Nothobranchius furzeri: one gene and its partner. The protein of the gene in region 1 interacts with the protein of each later gene in a biochemical or structural test. Links are inferred from orthologs where the notes say so. Each region holds a gene or a part of one and is shown in the gene's direction. Other genes may lie near its edges.

Region 1 (10,209 bases):
GTGTTAAAGACGCAGACGTGTTAAAGACGCAGACGTGTTAAAGACGCAGACGTGTTAAAGACGCAGACGTGTTAAAGACGCAGACGTGTTAAAGACGCAGACGTGTTTTTGTCAGACGTGTTAAAGACGCAGACGTGTTAAAGACGCAGACGTGTTAAAGACGCAGACGTGTTAAAGACGCAGACGTGTTAAAGATGCAGACATGTTAAAGACACAGACATGTTAAAGACACAGACATGTTAAAGACGCAGACATGTTAAAGACGCCGACATGTTAAAGACGCAGACGTGTTAAAGACGCAGACGTGTTTTTGTCAGACGTGTTAAAGACGCAGACGTGTTAAAGACGCAGACGTGTTAAAGACGCAGACGTGTTAAAGACGCAGACGTGTTAAAGACGCAGACGTGTTAAAGACGCAGACGTGTTAAAGACGCAGACGTGTTAAAGACGCAGACGTGTTAAAGACGCAGGCGTGTTAAAGACGCAGACGTGTTAAAGACGCAGACGTGTTAAAGACGCAGACGTGTTTTTGTCAGACGTGTTAAAGACGCAGACGTGTTAAAGACGCAGACGTGTTAAAGACGCAGACGTGTTAAAGACGCAGACGTGTTTTTGTCAGACGTGTTAAAGACGCAGACGTGTTAAAGACGCAGACGTGTTAAAGACGCAGACGTGTTAAAGACGCAGGCGTGTTAAAGACGCAGACGTGTTAAAGACGCAGGCGTGTTAAAGACGCAGACGTGTTAAAGACGCAGACACGTGTTAAAGACGCAGACGTGTTTTTGTCAGACGTATTAAAGACGCAGACGCGTTAAAGACGCAGACGTGTTAAAGACGCAGACGTGTTTTTGTCAGACGTGTTAAAGACGCAGACGTGTTAAAGACGCAGACGTGTTAAAGACGCAGGCGTGTTAAAGACGCAGGCGTGTTAAAGACGCAGGCGTGTTAAAGACGCAGACGTGTTAAAGACACAGACGTGTTAAAGACGCAGACGTGTTAAAGACGCAGACGTGTTAAAGACGCAGACGTGTTAAAGACGCAGGCGTGTTAAAGACGCAGGCGTGTTAAAGACGCAGACGTGTTAAAGACGCAGATGTGTTAAAGACGCAGACGTGTTAAAGACGCAGACGTGTTAAAGACGCAGACGTGTTAAAGACGCAGACGTGTTTTTGTCAGACGTGTTAAAGACGCAGACGTGTTAAAGACGCAGATGTGTTAAAGACGCAGACGTGTTAAAGATGCAGACATGTTAAAGACACAGACATGTTAAAGACGCAGACATGTTAAAGACGCCGACATGTTAAAGACGCAGACGTGTTAAAGACGCAGACGTGTTAAAGACGCAGACGTGTTTTTGTCAGACGTGTTAAAGACGCAGACGTGTTAAAGACGCAGACGTGTTAAAGACGCAGACGTGTTAAAGACGCAGACGTGTTAAAGACGCAGACGTGTTAAAGACGCAGACGTGTTAAAGACGCAGGCGTGTTAAAGACGCAGACGTGTTAAAGACGCAGACGTGTTAAAAACGCAGACGTGTTAAAGACGCAGGCGTGTTTTTGTCAGACGTGTTAAAGACGCAGACGTGTTAAAGACGCAGACGTGTTAAAGACGCAGACGTGTTAAAGACGCAGGCGTGTTAAAGACGCAGGCGTGTTAAAGACGCAGGCGTGTTAAAGACGCAGACGTGTTAAAGACGCAGACGCGTTAAAGACGCAGACGTGTTAAAGACGCAGACGTGTTTTTGTCAGACGTGTTAAAGACGCAGACGTGTTAAAGACGCAGACGTGTTAAAGACGCAGGCGTGTTAAAGACGCAGGCGTGTTAAAGACGCAGGCGTGTTAAAGACGCAGACGTGTTAAAGACGCAGACGTGTTAAAGACGCAGGCGTGTTAAAGACGCAGACGTGTTAAAGACGCAGACACGTGTTAAAGACGCAGACGTGTTTTTGTCAGACGTATTAAAGACGCAGACGCGTTAAAGACGCAGACGTGTTAAAGACGCAGACGTGTTTTTGTCAGACGTGTTAAAGACGCAGACGTGTTAAAGACGCAGACGTGTTAAAGACGCAGGCGTGTTAAAGACGCAGGCGTGTTAAAGACGCAGGCGTGTTAAAGACGCAGACGTGTTAAAGACGCAGGCGTGTTAAAGACGCAGGCGTGTTAAAGACGCAGGCGTGTTAAAGACGCAGGCGTGTTATAGACGCAGACGTGTTATAGACGCAGACGTGTTAAAGACGCAGACGTGTTAAAGACGCAGGCGTGTTAAAGACGCAGGCGTGTTAAAGACGCAGGCGTGTTAAAGACGCAGGCGTGTTAAAGACGCAGGCGTGTTAAAGACGCAGACGTGTTAAAGACGCAGGCGTGTTAAAGACGCAGGCGTGTTAAAGACGCAGACGTGTTAAAGACGCAGGCGTATTAAAGACGCAGACGTGTTAAAGACGCAGGCGTGTTAAAGACGCAGGCGTGTTAAAGACGCAGGCTTGTTAAAGACGCAGGCGTGTTAAAGACGCAGGCGTGTTAAAGACGCAGACGTGTTAAAGACGCAGGCGTGTTAAAGACGCAGACGTGTTAAAGACGCAGACGTGTTAAAGACGCAGACGTGTTAAAGACGCAGACGTGTTAAAGACGCAGGCGTGTTAAAGACGCAGGCGTGTTAAAGACGCAGACGTGTTAAAGACGCAGACGTGTTAAAGACGCAGACGTGTTAAAGACGCAGGCGTGTTAAAGACGCAGACGTGTTAAAGACGCAGGCGTGTTAAAGACGCAGGCGTGTTAAAGACGCAGGCGTGTTAAAGACGCAGGCGTGTTATAGACGCAGACGTGTTATAGACGCAGACGTGTTAAAGACGCAGACGTGTTAAAGACGCAGGCGTGTTAAAGACGCAGGCGTGTTAAAGACGCAGGCGTGTTAAAGACGCAGGCGTGTTATAGACGCAGACGTGTTAAAGACGCAGGCGTGTTAAAGACGCAGACGTGTTAAAGACGCAGGCGTGCTAAAGACGCAGGCGTGCTAAAGACGCAGGCGTGCTAAAGACGCAGGCGTGCTAAAGACGCAGGCGTGTTAAAGACGCAGGCGTGTTAAAGACGCAGACGTGTTAAAGACGCAGACGTGTTAAAGACGCAGGCGTGTTAAAGACGCAGGCGTGTTAAAGACGCAGGCGTGTTAAAGACGCAGACGTGTTAAAGACGCAGGCGTGTTAAAGACGCAGGCGTGTTAAAGACGCAGGCGTGTTAAAGACGCAGGCGTGTTAAAGACGCAGGCGTGTTAAAGACGCAGGCGTGTTAAAGACGCAGGCGTGTTAAAGACGCAGGCGTGTTAAAGACGCAGACGTGTTAAAGACGCAGACGTGTTAAAGACGCAGACGTGTTAAAGACGCAGGCGTGTTAAAGACGCAGGCGTGTTAAAGACGCAGACGTGTTAAAGACGCAGACGTGTTAAAGACGCAGGCGTGTTAAAGACGCAGGCGTGTTAAAGACGCAGGCGTGTTAAAGACGCAGGCGTGTTAAAGACGCAGGCGTGTTAAAGACGCAGACGTGTTAAAGACGCAGGCGTGTTAAAGACGCAGGCGTGTTATAGACGCAGGCGTGTTATAGACGCAGACGTGTTAAAGACGCAGACGTGTTAAAGACGCAGACGTGTTAAAGACGCAGGCGTGTTAAAGACGCAGGCGTGTTATAGACGCAGGCGTGTTATAGACGCAGGCGTGTTATAGACGCAGGCGTGTTAAAGACGCAGACGTGTTAAAGACGCAGGCGTGTTAAAGACGCAGGCGTGTTAAAGACGCAGGCGTGTTAAAGACGCAGACATGTTTTTTTGCAGTGAGTAGATTTCTGAACCGTAGACTATGATGAGGTAACATTCACCTCTTCCAATAATAACGTTGATAGCTCCTGGTTCCTCATCCTCTCCACAGGACAGCGTCTGGGAACACCCAGCCCAAAGTCCCCATGAGTCTGTGCACTCAGGCTGGCAGAGGAGTGACCATCGTCAGCCCTTCCTCTGCTCCCCTGGGAGTCATTGTTCCTGGTCCTGATTCCAACAAACCCCTCACCGTGTGCTCCGCCGCTGTACCTGCGTGCTCCCAACCTGCAGCTGTGGTAGCAACAGCTCAGACCGCTACGGGCCAACAGCCTAAAGTCTCTCTCCATGTCAACTCACAGATGACAGTAAACCAGGCCCGCAGCGCCGTCCGGACTGGTACGTTAGACAGATGTTGCATAAGCGGAGTGATTTATAGTTTAAATGTGTCATTTTATTTTATTTCATCTTTGCAGCCGCTTGCCACAGTCAGGACAGACCCACAGCAGCAGTGACACCCATCCAGTCTGCTACACCCGTGACTTTCGTCCCACAGCTCTCCGTTTGTCCGCAGCCCTCCTCTAACTCGGCTCAAGGCTGCTCCCGGGCCGGAGCGGCTCTGGGCTGCGCTGCTGCCTCCCTGACTCCTCCTAATGTGAATGCTGCTTCTCTAGAGGTCGACGCCTTGAGACCTGTTCCTGTGGGCTCTGGGAGCAGTGCTGCCATCAGTCACTCATCCAGCAGTGCAGCTTTTGTCTGCAGAATGGACAAGGATGGAAAGGTGGGATGGTTGTAGAAACTCTACAAGCTACTGTTGATCATTTTTACAATAATACAGATTTTCTTATATTCTGCAGTCTCACTGGGCTGCAACTGACGTTCACAAGAGTTTCCAAAATATCTCTACGTCACAGTCCTGCTGCTTTAATTTGTAGATTAAAACAGTCTGCAGACATCACACATCTGGAACACACGTGTGTGTGTGTGTCTCCTGCAGACACACACCGCTGAGATTCTGGCTTAAATGGTTCCCAGTACAGAGTTCATAATTGTTGGAACAGAGAGACTCAGAATCATGTTGGTAGAACAGCAATCTGTGTGTTTTATTCCCAAGTCAAACGAGCCAGCACAAACCTGTTTTTGACTTTAAGGAAGCCGTTCTAGGCAGCGAGCCGTCCTTCGTGTTTTAGGAAAATGTGCTTTAATCCATAACTGTTTGGAATTTTCAACATGAAATCGATGTTGTTGCAGAGAGAAAAGAAGAGTCTTCTGAAGCTGTTGTCCTCCAATAAGAAGAAGTCTCGACCTTCACCTCCCTCCTCTCCCACCCTTGAAGGAGAACAGGCTGGAGCTGGAGAGGTGCTGCATGGAGCGGTGTGTCCTGACACCTCCCCTCCCTCCAGCTCCGTCAGCTGCCTGGAGCTGGAATCTGCTGCTGTTGCTTCTGCCTTGCCATCCGCCTCCCCCTCAGTCCCCGAGTCTACCCATCGGAAGAGCGGCCCGCTTGATGGATGCGCTCCCATCGCTCCTCCTCCTCGACAGCCCTGCTCCTCTCTTTTACCGCAGCAGTATGATGCACGTCCCATCATATGTGAGAGGTAGGCTGATGTGAGGCTGCCTTCCCTCTAATGCAACATTATACCAGTCGCTCAGTGTGCCTCTGGCTGTTCTCCCCAGGTACAGGGTGGTGGTGTCGTATCCTCCGCAGAGCGAGGCCGAGCTGGAACTCAAGGAGGGGGACATCGTGTTTGTTCACAGGAAGCGGGAGGACGGCTGGTTCAAAGGCACGCTGCAGAGGAACGGCAGGACTGGCCTGTTCCCTGGCAGCTTCGTAGACAGCATCTAACCCACCAAACTTCCCCACGGTGAGCCCAGCTATGTGGGCGCCATCATACCGACACCTGAAGTCCTGAAAGAAACCGCTAGAAGCACACAAGAGAAGCTGAAGGGGCTCTGAAGGCACAGTGGGCGGCGCTAGAGCACACTACACGTGAACTCTTCTCTTATTCTTGGTTATTTATATATTTGTAACAACTCAGCTGTTAAATGTGTGCCTTGTACTGTTCTCCACTTTATTGTACGTAAGGACACAAATATGAGTCCTAAATCAACCAGTATGACCTGTTATCAGCACGTTACACATTTAACTTATTTTATATTCTCCCTAGGCAGCAGGGGGTTACGGACAACACACTTTAGTTCATTTTCTCCTTTAGGCCGCTGATAGGGTTTTCATTATTTTGAACCTTCAGCAGGTAGGAGACCGAACATGAAACCAAACAACCAAAACGAGTCATCTGTGCTGCACCGTGAGAAGAGAAGATGCTTCCCCCGCTCCAAACGAGACGACCAGAAGAATCTGCTGTATTGCACATCTGAATCCTTAAAGCTCCTCCTTAAGCTGCACGGGACTAAGTATTTGCGTGCCGTTCATTGTTAGGTGGCCTTGTTTCGTAGAAAAATGAGAAACTAGCTCGTCATCAACGCAGCCACCCCCCAGGAGGTCATTGATGGCTCTGCCGCAGCTTATTATCCTTAAAACACTCCAGACTCTGCAGTCGAACGTTGCTGGATTTGTACCTTTTGTTTTAATTCTCTGTTTCCTGACCAGAGTAGCTGCTCTCCTAACTCTTTAGTAATATCTGAACCCAGACAGAGCTCTGCCCCTCTAGAGCGACACGTGTCATTAAAACAAAGCAGAATCTTTTATATTTATGTTAACGTTCCACCGAGGCCCAGGCCTGCTGCTTGTGACTGACCGACGCGGTTTCCCTCCCGTGGGAGCTGTTTTTTGGACGCTAGAGTTCATTCCTGATGTGACTTGAGACACTAAAACTCACCGCTGACCGTTTGCCTAAAGCAGCGTCGCTCCACAGACGTCGGTGTCTTCTCACGAATCTCATTTTTTATGAAAACAATCATTTTGAGCCCTTTAATTTGTTTTCTGGTTAAATGTACTGACTTGATTTGCTGTAAGGTTTTTGTTTTTATGTTTTTGATTACATTTGGATTTTGTAAAACATGAAATAGCTTTATTTATTTTTTTAGAATGACTACTCTGTTGTTTTGAAACAAACAACCACAGAAATCCCTGTCTCCTTTATCCCATCAAAACTGATTCAGTCCTGTATGAAAACGCATCAGAAGTAAGTACTGACCAACCCGCCCATGTTCGTACCAGGTGACCCATTCGGACGGCACGGGATGTTCGTTTCGGTTCAATCACGCGAGCCGGTCCTGGATCCTGTTGTTTTGGGTTGTTGACGGGGACCACTGTGTGCCTGACTGCTGGAATATTTAGAGTTTTAAAGAGCGTGTGGAGAGTTATGGTACACATCACTGTTGAGCCTTTTTGTTTGACTTTGTCTTTCTGAGCAGATTTAATCCGATGTTACGACGTTATCTTGGCAAGCACCAACCTCACAACTCCTCTTTGCTTTCCTTGCAAAGCCTTTAAGATTACTGACGTGTTTCAACCCAAATGCACAAGTTTATACCGACATTTGCACTGTCTCAGCATCGCTAATCTTACTGATCTTCGTCATGCCTAGGCTGCACAGTTTGGAAACACGAGGCATTTTTGGATATATTTACAAGTCTGTTTTGTCATCTGTTGAGTATTCAGTAACTTAAAGGGATTTCTTTTTGCAATTTGAAGTGTTTGTGTAAAAGTTGTAAATAATTACAACTTTCCCCTCGTAGCTGGCGTCCTGGAGGGCCCTGTTTGGAGAAGTTTGAGTTTTCATCCTACAGCATTGATGTGCTAACAGCTAGTCTGAGTGCTGCCAAGACCAAAGCTGAGTAAAACTACCAAATGTCACAGCGGTAATGCAGTATTTTTAAACCCTTCCATCGGGGCTGATTACACATGACAGCGTTGGTGACATTCTAGGACCAACGGTGTCATGTCTTCATGTTATTGCTGAAATAATCGTTATTAATAAAATGTCACATTAACCGCTGTCTATGTTTAGAAGAATGGAATCGTTTTAACACATCTCGGTTGCACTCGGCTAACTAGCCGTTAGCTCAGCAGTCCTGAAGGACATAAAGGCTATTTCTCTAAACAAAGTAAGATCTAAACACAAATAAAACAAAATTCCTTTAAGTTGGGTTGCTGAAGCTTAACTTTTCTATGCCAAGGTGGATGACTTGATTTTTTTTTCCTTGTCAAAGTTAGTGTGTTTATGTCTAAAACTAGTGAAACTGAAATCCAACTATTTGGCACATTATGTCAAAAATATTGTGAAGAATTAGAGGGAATGACATTTTGTAAAAAAAAAAAAAAAAAAAAAAAAAAGCTATCCCAAAAGTAAAATGTTTTCCATGTTTTCTTGAAGATTGTGTTGTTTTTTCCTAAGTGACATCATGTCACGCAGGCCTCCTCCTACCAGGGTAGAACTATCCAGCTGGGGCTTCAAGCTGCTGACAGGACTAGGCATCTCAAAGTTTGCATGACATGAGTAAACTTGTGTGTGTGTGTGTGTGTGTGTGTGCGCGTGCGCGTGTGTGTACGTTCAGCAGTGATTTCAGCAGCAGCCATGGTGCATGTGGTCATTATCGTCCCCAGGAAGAGGTGAGCCTCCCCAGCGTGCTCAGCTGGGAAACGCTGACTGGACCTGACAAGCACCCAGAGGTCATTGTGCTGCACACAGCTCCCTGCAGAGGACGGCTCTCCGTGGAAATTACTCCTCCCCACACAAGAATAGGACAAATAAGAATCATTGTGCATGGCCAACACAGGATGCATATATGTTGGAATTGTGTTGAATTTTCATGCTTTAAGGACGTGTGCTAAATTTGCAGCAAGGCTGTTGCTGTCTGACAGCTAAAGCTTACCGGGCTGGTGTGTATTTAAAAATAGGAGAAGCTAGTTTACAGAATGTAGCTGCCAGGGCTATTTGGGCTTCAGCTGAGCCTTGGGGTTAAATGTTTCTTGAATAGATCTTTTGTTTACAGGACATTTGCACAAACATTTGTCTTGGACACTCAGAAGTCTAAGGACATTAGATTCAGCAAATTATACTGAGTTTGATTGTTTGTGCTGTGCAGGTACAAGGGCTGTTAGGTGTAAAAGAGCTAAGTAACATGTTCAGGAAGCGGTCTGAATCACCTTGTTTTCTCCAGAACAAACAGGTATGAATGAGCTGGGGGTTTATGAGTTGCTCCTGCAGCACCATGGACATGAATCCTAGCGCTCTGGGCCAGAGGTCTGCTCTGGCAAAGGTTGTGAATGTTATTTAACCTCAGTAAATCAACCTGGCAGGGTGTCTCAGTCTGATGAAGTGCCCAAGTGTAAATGGAGCTCTCCTATTTTTACTATTGCTCTATTTGTATGCACTGGTGGACACGATGCTATTCCTGTGGAAATACATATTTGAGGAGGGGAACAAAAAACATGGCTGAAGGAAAAGGAGAAACTGTGACACCAGCAGGATGTGTGTAGGGGGAGGGGTCAGGTGAAGAGACGAAAAGCTTTGATATCTACTCGTTTGTGTTCAGCCTTTTGTTAACAAACTTTAAAATAAAAGCTGAAATGTGCTGATATCAGTGATTCCCTAACTTCCTGCCAGTGATGTTTTTCATTGCCAACATACGACAGCTGATTCATAAAGCACCTGGGGGAGGGAAAGCTGAGGTGACTCCGAACGGCTGATTAGTTCTGACACTTCTGGCTGTCTTCAACCTGAGTGGAAACCCGTCATCAGTGAAGTATCAGCGCCTTGATTCACCATGGCAACCACTGAAAGAAGTGCATCAAACACACGAGGAAACTGCAGTTTTATTGAGCAGATTACATTTTATACAAACTGGAGTCACTGATTTGTTAAAAACACTCCTATTCAGTTGCACTCACCCAACAGAAAGAGGCAGAGTTTGCTTTAGTTAGTTGATGAGGTTTAACTCCCAGAGTCTGTTGCCATGGAGATAACTCTGAGATTCACTTAACCTCTGAAATAGCTTTCTGGATTACCATGACGTGTGTGGATCCCTGTGAAATCCATTTTAAACATTGTTTCATCTTCTTAAATGAAGTTATGTTTATTATTATAGTATTTCTGTTGATGTGACATTCTAAAACAAATAAACACCCCAAAAGTTGGTGTTAGCTCTTTGGGGCCACCTATAGGAACCCTGTTTAAAACTTTCTGGAGGCACCCCTGCCCTCAGATGACGCAGCTTGCATCTTACAATATATTCTATTTCTGTTTATTAGTCCTGTTATTATTAGTATTCAGGGAAACTTGGTTTTAATAACAACTTATTTTATTTCTACTTATTTAATTTAGAAACACTAACAGTAAAAAAATTTGATTATTTGCTCAAAAATCTTTTTTGTTGTTGAGGTCCTAATAATCCAAAATAGCTAAGCAAAGTCAAAATCACACCAAACTAAAGGTCTCTGGAGGA
Region 2 (11,123 bases), on another chromosome or scaffold:
TCTATGTTTTTAATTATTGACTGAATTTCTTTCGGTGTTTTGGTTTTCTCTCTTGGTGTCCTCATTTTTTTGGTTTTCGTTTTCGGACAAGAATTTTCACTTGGTGCATCCCTACCATACACGTAGCCGGGTTTTAGTAAAACCAAATATCGACAAAGGACTTGGGTCCACGCCACCTCGTTCCCAATTAAAATATCCAGTGCATTGTGGAGGACATTCAAAGGCATGCCAAGCCTGTAGGTGGCAGTAGTTCCTTTAGTACAGGAATGTCTAAACTTTTCATGACAAGGGCCCAAAAAAGTCATGTTTTAAGTCAATGGGGGCCTCAAGAATGTGATTTTCTTAATTTAAAAAGTGCAAACATTATTTTATATAATTTTTTAAATTTGTACTCTTCAAAAAAAAATCCAAAATAGGCTTATAAGTAAACATCTGAACATAAACATGTTAGAAAGTGGCGATCTATATCAACATCCTATTGAAGAGACAAAAATCACCATTTTAGAAATTTAAGTGGGGGCCGTACAAAATTGCTCAGTGGGCCAGAAATGGCCCCCGGGCCACATTTTGGACATGCCTGCTTTAGCAGTTCTTTGGCGGCTCTGGTATTCCTTAGACGTAGTGGTGAGCAAAACCGTTGTTAACGTCATCCTTCACCTGTGGTTTTCTACTTAGAGCATTAATGAAACAAGAAAGCGTTAACACAGGTCAGACATATGACATCAGAGCGTTTATGACGCAGGAAGTGACGTTATAAAACCTAAAACCCTGTTGTTGTTTTTTCACGTCCACAAGCAAATGCTGACGATGGAGAAATCACAGCTGTCCACTTTGGTCGGCGGTTTTAAAAAGAATAGTTACGTTTGCGTGGGTGATGGGTCTAACCGTAAAACATTTCTTCTTTTAGAGGGAACTCGTCTACGCCTGTACAGGGTCATTGAGCTCTATACATTTGCTATTACTGTTTTTCTGAATTTCACAACATTCAAGACTCTGTGACTTATTTTACCCAAATTAATACTCCCAGTATTTAACCATGATTATGTTCTTTTCTTCTCCTCCTCCAGGTATTACACACTAAAGGTTTTTATTTGAGTCAGAGACTTGAAGCACAGTGTCCACAGTTTCCATCGGCTTGTCTGCAGCCCCCCTACCTACCCCAACAGTTTTCTGCCCCAGCATGAATGAAGTCAGTGTTGTTAGAGAGGGATGGCTCCAAAAGAGAGGTGAGGGTCTCTTTGTATTCACCAACCCTCATGTGAATTTGTAGCTAAGATCTACGTGGAATAAAATATTGAATACGTTAATATCTCTGCTACAGATGTGAATTATTCAAACTGATGAAGAACATCGGCTTAATTCAGTCACTCTCAGTTGGTCATCTGTTTATAATCTTGTGGTACAGAGAGGCTTAGTCATCCACAGGGAAGTGGTCAAACATTAAAACAGCCTCTCATCTGTCCACATCTAGGTGAATACATCAAAACATGGCGGCCGCGTTACTTCATCCTGAAGAGTGACGGATCGTTTATCGGATATAAAGACAAGCCTGAAGTGTCCATTGATCCCAGCCAACCACCGCTCAACAACTTCTCTGTTGCAGGCACGTTTTTCACAGAGTTGCATGCTAGGCTTTCTCCATTGGGTCTGTTGCTCATGGTTGAGTCTGTGGTTTATAGAATGTCAGTTGATGAAGACGGAACGCCCCAGGCCCAACACGTTTGTCATCCGATGTCTCCAGTGGACCTCGGTTATTGAGCGAACCTTTCACGTAGACAGCAAGGAGGAGAGGTAAAATCTGATTTTCTATGGGTTAGAATTATCGGAATTTTAAATGACTTATTTTTAGTGTCACAAACATGATCCATGGGAAATATGTGTAGTAAGGAATGATTTTGTGTAGCTGATCAATAGAAACCAGGAATTCAGTGTTGATGTCAGCTTTTTTAAACCTGACAAACAAATAATGCAACTGTGGCCAGAGTTATACTTGGCCTTATATATATATAAAAACACACCTAACTTCTGGCCTGTTTAGGGTGAGAATCAAATATTTTTGCTACATTCAGTCATTAGTTTGAAACAGACACCAGCTAATTAAACTTGATCTTCTACTTGATTGACCACATGAAGCAAACATGGAAACGCCACTGAAAAAGCAGAAAGAGCTACTACAGCAGCTCATAGACAAACAGGAAGTGTGTGTGTGAACAGTTGCACCAAGCAGTCTGCTAGGGTCATAACTGATTAACTCATTCACCGCCAATGACGACTAAAGTCGTCATTTGCATTTTTTTTTTTTTACTGTTTGAGCATCGGAACGAGCCCCCGCGCTGAGAGAACAATTATCTCAGCCCTGAAGCCGATCTTCATCTGCATACGTCACACATCACGTGATCAGGAAGCAGAACATCCATGTGTTAGGAGATCGTTTTGGGCCGTTCCTATAAAAAAGGTGAGGCGCGAACCGGAAAAGCGTCTGCCGATCACAATTCGACAACAGATTATGAAAAAACGGATAACGCTCGAAACACGCGGATTCTTCCTGATGTAAGAGGTGAGTCTCCTCATTGCTTTGGTTGTTTTGGCGTCTACATCATCCTAGCGCTCTTAAGAAAACAGTAAAAGTGGTGAGAAATGCTGGCAGTGAATGAGTTAAAATGAAGGTGTATTTATTGGTGTCACACACTGCTGATGTGTTTTGCATCGGCACCGTCATCTTTACTTGCACTTGGTTCATAAAACACCACAGGGGGACATTCATGAGCTTGGTCCTCAAAAGGCAGATCTGTGCAGTGAAATATTTAAATGGCAGATTTGCAAAACATAATGTGATGAAATAATTGTAATAATCTTTTTTTTTTTTTGTCACTTTTATATCTATTTTGGTTTAGAAACCAGAATTGACAGTCAAATGAAGTGCACAACCATACTCAATACCAACTGGAATTTATTCCATCCTAAGCCACAGCTGATTACAGGAATGTTCCAGTTCCAGAGAAGTTTAAACTTATCTGGCCTTTTATCTCTAAAAATAAAACAAATAAATGCAAACGACTGAAAGAAAAGTGTGTTTTTACTGGTAGTTATGTTGTTTCTTTCTAAAGTTGACCCCTCAGGTGACCTTTAAGTCCAGCCTTTAGCATGATTTGAATCTGAGTGTGTAGAGTCACATGTTTCTCATTTGTACTGTCAACTCTGCAGCAGGAACACTGTGCTGCCCGTGGATGTGCCTGACTGTTTATCACTAAAGCATGCACAGACATGGCCAGTTGTTGGTTTTACTTAAAAAAAAAACTGTAAACGTCAAATTAATCAATCCACCATACTAACCTATCTACCTTTACTCATGAGTGCAGCTAGCTGGTTAAAAAGAACAAGTTTGGTACATTTCATCTAAAAAAGAACGGTGTGTGAGTCATACTGCTGTCTTTTGTGTCTTCTAGTGTAAATCTTAAATTTAAATAATGCTTTAAACAATAAACACAAGTAAAAAGAAGTAGTTACAACCAAACCATTTGGAATAATAACATCTAAACAAAATAACCACAAATAGGAGAACTTTGGACATAATTTCTTATGTTTAAATTCTCTTTCCGGAGTATTTCTCATGTCCGATGGCACCATCTAGTGGCGGACAAGCATATCACAAAAAGTCTGTTGCTCTTAAGGTGGCAACTTCACATTTGTGTTTATAAATGTGCTTCTGTAGCCGACAAACAGAGCTAAAACACGCTGTTTTACGAGTATTATTCTCATGTCATGTTGTGTTCTCATATATTTATATTTTAGAGACTTACTTGTCCGTGAAAAATTCATCAACTCTGTGTCAGCCGAGGTATTCCTTAAATTTGAAGCGTCTAAGCAGTAGTCTAACGCTAAGCAGTAGTCTAACGCTATTGGTTAGTTCTGGTCAGCGCTCAGTTTCCTATTGCACGGAGCTCTGCAGGGCAGGGGGCATGCTTAGCAAAAAACAAAAAGACGTATTGCTTACATTATATCACATTACATGATAATATAATCACTTTTACGGATTTCTGAAAAACCATACATAATTTCTGAAAGTAGAAAACTCCGGAAAGCAGCTTTAACCGTGTTCGTGTGAAACTATTCCCTGAGTTTTAAACCGCACGTGAAAATGTGCACAACATAATTACAATGAAAACTGTGGATAAAACATTTAGTTTGTAAAAGTTATAATGACCATTGTTAAATGTGTAGGATTTGTTTGTAAAATAGAAACAGCCATCACGTTGGGTTATACCTGATTTTTCACCTCTAACCCAAGAAATTGTCATTAGGTGTATTTTTTTTTTACGTGGGCTCTGCCAACCACCAAATCCCAGAAGCCCACAGATTATCCTCTGCACTCTAAATAAAGACTGCAAGGCCACTATTTCACGTAAACATGTTGCTTTGGAAATGCCGTGTGACAAATTTTCAAAATAAAATAATATAGAATGTCAATTTACAGAGGAATATTTGTTTTACTTCTGTAGAATTTTTATTTTATTCTTTGACATTTTATTTGTATTCAGTCAGACATGCATTAGATTTGAAAAGGTCACCGTGTGCTTCTCTCTGGGTCAGGGAGGAATGGATGAGATCGATCCAGGCAGTAACCAACAGCCTGAAGAGTCAGCAGCAGGACGAGGAACCCATGGAGATTAAATTTGGCTCACCGAGTGACAGCAGCGGCGCAGAGGAGATGGAGATTGCTGTGTCCAAATCCCGTTCAAAAGTAGTCAGTATTTGCACAAGCAACGCCTGGCAGCTGTGTGTGTGTGTGTGTGTGTGTGTGTGTGTGTGTGTGTGTGTGTGTGTGTGTGTGTGTGTGTGTGTTCTGCTAAGCTCATCTTTATTGAGCAAGTTGGTCAAACTTTAAGCCTCTTTCTCAAAGCTTTTTTGTGAAACCCTTTTTAAATTAAAAAGGTCACTGTTTGATTATTTTTTTAATTTTTGTCTTGCTGAAATGTTTTGAGAGATAATTTTCATTGACATTTTCTGTTTTCTTTTATAAAATATGTTTTTTTGTCCTAGTCTTTACTTTAATGCTTACCTGCAGATTTTGACCCAAAACACAGAAAACCTGGCAAAAGCAGCAAACATTGTTTTTAATTTGTATGTTTTAAAGAAAGTTTTTTGTGTTTTTCTTTGCTTTTTCACATAAATCACATAAATCATGGCATGTCTGAGAAAACAGGAATGAGTTCCAACAAATTAGAGATGAATTAATGTTTGTCTCAACTTTCCTGAAGACCATGATCGACTTTGACTACCTGAAGCTTTTGGGAAAAGGGACGTTTGGAAAAGTGATCTTGGTGAAGGAGAAAGCCACTGGGATGTACTATGCCATGAAAATCCTCCGCAAAGAAGTCATCATCGCTAAAGTCAGTGCTGACTAAAATATTTAAGTGGGACTGTCTTGTAGTTTTGCTACATGCTTAGTGTTTGTGCTCTTTATGCATGGACTGTGTGTGTGCGTGTGTGTGTGTGTTCCTATAGGACGAGGTGGCACACACAGTTACAGAGAGCCGAGTTCTCCAAAATACGAGGCACCCCTTTCTAACGGTGAGTCACAAGTACTTCTGTTGTTTTTTGCCTGAAGACTTCTCTTCATCCTCATAATGAAGGTGCACATGATTTCTTCTGCAGACTCTAAAGTATGCATTTCAAACAAACGACCGGCTCTGCTTTGTGATGGAGTACGCAAACGGAGGAGAGGTAGCTATTTCTTTTTGCTTTAGACAGGCGGTAGGTTTAAACAAGCAGAAGGAAACTTCCCCGCATTGAATCAGTTGTAGACTTGATATTTTGCCTTTAGAATGTTTGTAATCCAGACCGGATTACCGTTTCATGGGAATAACGTCAGAATTTAAATCCACTTTCAATCACTTGTTTTTCAAACCTTCACCCGCCTGTAAAGCTCAAACAAAAATATCTTCAGTCTTTAATACGTACAGAGTCAAGTTCATGATGCTGCAAATAAAAATATTCAGTATGTTTTTTAATCCTCTTGCAGCTCTTCTTTCACTTATCCCGGGACAGAGTATTCACTGAAGATAGGGCACGGTTCTACGGTGCAGAAATAGTCTCAGCACTGGAGTATCTACACTCACGCAATGTCGTTTACAGAGACTTGAAGGTAATGTGTTCTCTTCGTTCAACCCAGGGGACTCGTTCACCTGTCAGGAAGAAGAATGGGAAGTTTCTTAGCAAGTTTTTTGAAGTGATCTGTATTTCTGATCTGATTCGCGTCTACATTTCCATGTGCAGCTTGAGAACCTCATGTTAGACAAAGATGGCCACATAAAGATAACGGATTTTGGACTTTGTAAAGAGGGGATCACAGACGGCGCCACCATGAAAACCTTCTGTGGAACCCCGGAGTACCTGGCACCAGAGGTAAATCTGTCTGGACTGTTGGTGTCTGACAAAATGAATAATAATCGATCCTACAATTCTCCGATTACTGGTGAGTCCGCTCTACCTCCTGAGCTTCTGCTACCCCTAGATGAAAGACGCCGTTATTTATGAACAAGATGGTCAAGTCGTCTTTTCACTGTGATGCTCATTCATAAAAGTCCGATCTTTGTGGCGTTACTTGAAAAACCTGCAGACAGCACTATAGTCGGTATTTGCCCAGCCATTTGAAATCTACAGCTTAGTGACACATGACTGTCTCTAGTGATGGGAGTGAATACAACGCACCGAACAATGTATGTTTCACATTGTTACTGCATGGGCTGTTTGCTATTCTAATAGTTGACACCTATGTGCAAAAGCCAGTAGAGATGTGTAGGGGTGTGTATGGGCAGGAATCTGGCAAAACGATGCAATTTATGACGGATCTTAATTGGAAAACTCGAGTCAGATGTTTCCAAGATGCATGCAGGGTTATCTTGAGATCCACTAGAGAGAAGGTGGTGAAAACTGCTGCCACCTAGCAGTCAGAGTTTGAATTGCTTCACACCTAAGAAATACAGTATATGTTTGCTTGTAAATCCTCAATAAAAATCGATACGGTGCTTTTAGATATCCATTCAGTATCATCACATGAAAAATCGCCATATCTCAGCGCATCAGTATTTCCTTACATCCCTACAAACTTATTTACAACAAATGTAAGAAACATCCATTAAAGGGGCATTATGGAAGTTTGACAGCCAAAACATGTCTAGAAATAATAAATTTCTTCTTCATACATTCTCCTGCAATGCCCTGGTCCTGTAGAATGAGCCCTGGCCTTTTTACTGTGATTGCCTGTTTTTCTGTAAAATCACAGAAAAAGAGAGATGCTCGGGTCGAGCAGGCTGCTTCATGCGCGTTCACGCTCAGGCATAGCCCGTAGCATTTGCTATCAGTAGCTTTAGCAGGTGAGAGTGAGGTAGTGCCAACTCAGCGACTTTGTCGCTGTTCCTAACGCCTAGTGATGAACCTAGCTACATTTCTGAGGACCCTTAGCTACTTTCTGTAGAACTTTCTTCAAGATATTTCCTGCAAATTAGCAACAAAATAGCCATTTTCACTCCGAACCGTTCCTTGAACGTTGTTTCAGCTGTCATCAAAGATATAAAAGTTACAGATGCAAAACATATAACTGGCCCTTTAGCACACCTAGTAAGACGTCAGGCTGTCGTGCAGGAGATCCGGGTTCGACTCTGGACATGAACATAATTTATTTTTTACATTAATGGTATATTTTTTTACAGTAAGATGCCCAAATTTTTATTTGAGACTCGCTGAACGGCATTGAATTCACAGATAAAAAAATATGTGGATTCAACTTTCATTTTGGAACAATTTTTCAAGCAAGGGAAGGGAATGATCTGAGCATGCAGGAGGACTGACCCATCATAAACCTTTGTCGGCTGTGCTGAAGAGAAAGGTACAGAACCAAATTATTTAATTAATTAGCTGCGTGTTCTCCTGTCCTCTGTCCTCCGGGACACACACACACACACGGGACTGTCTCAGCTGTTATTTTCGTTAAGGAGTGTGCACGTACAGCATGCGCACCTCATGCACGAGCCTACTATTGAAGCTGCCGTTACGCTTTTGGCCTGAGGGGGCAATCGCGAGCATAAAAATTCAAAACTCCATAAAGTCCCTTTAATTCAGACACAGTTTCAGGTAAAAATGATAGTTAAATCACAGATTTGACAGATTTGACAATTTCAACATTTTTGAATCTAAGAAAGAAAACAATCTTTTATATAGCGCCTCTCTAGATAAAACTCATGAGGCGCTTCACTAGAAAAAAAAACACAAAAAGATTGATTAAAAGATATGGTTTAAATAAAAAAAATAATTAAAGAGAAAATGAACAGGAAAGAGGGAAATCAGTGGATCCCAGGAAAGGTGGAATAAGAACAGAATAAGGGTGGTGATGAAGGTCATGCCAAAGCGTGAACAGGTGAGTTTTCTGCTGCTTCTTAAAGGAGACCACTGAGTCCACTGATCAGGGGGAGAGAGGTCCAGAGTCTGGGGGCCACAGCAGCAGATGATCTGTCACCTTTGGTCTTTAGCCTGGTGCTTCACAACCAGTAGGCTTTGGTCACTGGACCTCAGGGACCTGCTGGGGGTTTAGGGACTAAGAAGATCACCAATGTATGGTGGTGCTTGTCCATGTAAGGCCCTATAGACCAGAACCAGGATCTAATGACTCGCACAGTGAAACGAGGACTATTAGTTTGGTGGAGAATGACTATTAAGTATTTAAAAGGATAGTTAATTTTGAGGAATGTGATGAAGCCAATAATAATGTCATAAAGAGCAGTATGTATGAAAGTGTTTGATGCCCGTCTAAAGGGTGTTTGATTCGCTGGAATGAGTGAGAAGCTGCTGCTACGATGGACACAAACGGCTAAATGTGGAGACCGATAAAGAAAGGACCAAAGCAGTTCTAAACATCTGTAACGATGCTGAGCTACAAATGTTCTAGTAGCTAAAAGTCATACCAACACATCTGGAGCTAACTGATCACATACGGTCTTGTAAGAGAGATCAACCCCTTTTGTACACGATCCAACCAAAAGAGCTACACCTCCATCTAGGGCTGCTCAATTAATCGAATTTTAATCATGATTACGATCTGAGTTTTGAACGATTATACAAACAAAACAAGCCGATTATTTGCTCATCCCACTTGCGCTGCCCTGAGTTGCAAATGAAGCGCTCCTCCCACTGTGTTGCCAACTTGGCGACTTTGACGCTATTTCCAACAGCTTTTCAGACCCCCTTCTTGACTTTTTAAATCTTAAAAGTACCTAGCGAACACCTCAAAAACATCTCTGGGAACCCCTTAGCTACTTTCTGGATAACTGTCGTCGACATTTCCTGCAGATTAGCTAAAGACTCCGCCTGCGCTCCGGACCGTTCTTCAGGACATTAGGAAAGGGAATGATGTAGTGATGTGTCGGTCGCTAAAGAAACAGCCCTCAGAGCCAGCTCCCTGTGGATTAACCAGAGTGAGTGACACACACACCGCACCTGCGGACTCCTGAGCCGCTAAAAACGGCTAATGTGCGCATGCGGCGTGCTAAACACACGTGCAGCTTGCCCCTGATTGCTTTGAGACCAGGTTGAGGGGTGTGCAGCTGTGGTTGGGACAATTATTACATTAACTGATGGACTTGTAAATAAATAGTTTATTAATAAGGTAGAAATAAGTTCCCCACGCTGATAAATAACTAATCTCTCTGAGGACACGGTGCTAGTGCCTGCTCCTACAGCATCTTGACACGACTAAATAAATGTTATGCAACATTTTATGAACATCAATTTATTTGCATTTATTTGTTATAAATGCCACTGTATAATTCTTGCTGTCAGTATTTGCAACATATTGGTATTTGGGTCTGTACTGGTTAGACTTAAATGAGTTAAACCAAGGTCTATAGCCCTTGGGTCATAGACTATGAGCTATAAGTATATTGGTCTTTTTATACTGGGAATCAGGAGTTATTTTAGTGATCATCTTGTTCTCATTTTTTTTGTCCTGATTGTGCCCTGAGCAATTTTATGACTGAATAAAAACAAATAAAATCAACATAAATTGAAAAATCGTCCTAAATAATCGAGATCTCAATTTCAGTCACAATAATCGTGATTATTATTTTTGCCATAATCGAGCAGCCCTACCTCCATCGTGTCTCAACGTAAGGTTATCAGTTTAAAACGGACATGGAAGCGAACTAGCAATGTACCATGCCTTTTTAAATACCAAAACTAAAGTCATCAATGACTGCAGGTGGCAACAATCGGTGTGTTTTCTGAGCACACTTCTAATTTTAGTCTTTAATAAACGTGCTGTTTATTTCCTGCAAAAATATATCCCACAAATAATTTCTTACAGCTTAAACAGATGTTACCTTAATCAGCTTCGTTAAAAAGGTGGTAAAAATCATTTCAAAACCTACCGTTGCTCCACCCAACATTTCACAAATAAAACGTGTCCATCTCGCCACCCAGCATGACATGGCTTTAATATTTTATGGTATTTTATTATAAATGAAGGGAACCGGACAGCAGAGAAGAAATAAGTAGATTTCTTTCTTTATTTAACATTTCTCTTCTCCCCATCAGGTGCTGGAGGACAACGACTATGGACGGGCAGTGGACTGGTGGGGACTGGGGGTGGTGATGTATGAGATGATGTGTGGTCGGTTGCCGTTTTACAACCAGGACCACGAGCGTTTGTTTGAGCTCATCCTCATGGAGGAGATCCGCTTCCCTAAGAGCCTGGCTCCAGAGGGAAAGGCCCTGCTGGCAGGACTGCTTAAAAAAGACCCCAAACAAAGGTAGGAGGTCTTAGCTGCGGGAACACCGTTTTACAAAAAGCACCAGACGGGTTTCACTTCTTTTTACTCTGAGAAACCGAAAACAAAGATCCTACCTATTTAATGTTGAGAAACAGGGTTTTATTGTTGCAGTTATGGTTGATTTCTGAGGTAAATGTTGAAAACTAAAATAACATTTGAACCATTTTCATCTGTTAAAGCAAGTTTCTGTTGTGAGAATGAAAACCGTTTCTCCGTGACCTTTTCCCCTGCCGCTGATCTGTTTCGGAGTCTTGTTGTGCTTGTAGACGCCCTGTGTTTGGCTATAAAAGACGTAACCCT

The links.
Region 2: the proteins of sh3rf1 (region 1) and akt2 form a complex in vitro, tested with the Homo sapiens proteins (2 studies listed by BioGRID and IntAct, with this or other methods). The link is inferred for Nothobranchius furzeri from reciprocal best matches to the Homo sapiens genes SH3RF1 and AKT2.

Annotation. Positions count from the first base shown.
Region 1 is NC_091748.1:39,159,132-39,169,340, forward strand, and holds the end of sh3rf1 (E3 ubiquitin-protein ligase SH3RF1), read left to right. Parts: intron 1-3,913; coding exon 3,914-4,197; intron 4,198-4,274; coding exon 4,275-4,579; intron 4,580-5,049; coding exon 5,050-5,396; intron 5,397-5,475; coding exon 5,476-5,644; 3' UTR 5,645-5,866; downstream 5,867-10,209. UniProt on the Homo sapiens protein: Has E3 ubiquitin-protein ligase activity. In the absence of an external substrate, it can catalyze self-ubiquitination. Stimulates ubiquitination of potassium channel KCNJ1, enhancing it's dynamin-dependent and clathrin-independent endocytosis.
Region 2 is NC_091753.1:24,397,596-24,408,718, reverse strand, and holds part of akt2 (RAC-beta serine/threonine-protein kinase), read left to right. Parts: intron 1-1,067; 5' UTR 1,068-1,180; coding exon 1,181-1,226; intron 1,227-1,471; coding exon 1,472-1,603; intron 1,604-1,679; coding exon 1,680-1,791; intron 1,792-4,590; coding exon 4,591-4,744; intron 4,745-5,258; coding exon 5,259-5,390; intron 5,391-5,505; coding exon 5,506-5,571; intron 5,572-5,655; coding exon 5,656-5,724; intron 5,725-6,022; coding exon 6,023-6,145; intron 6,146-6,276; coding exon 6,277-6,405; intron 6,406-10,587; coding exon 10,588-10,802; intron 10,803-11,123. UniProt on the Homo sapiens protein: Serine/threonine kinase closely related to AKT1 and AKT3. All 3 enzymes, AKT1, AKT2 and AKT3, are collectively known as AKT kinase.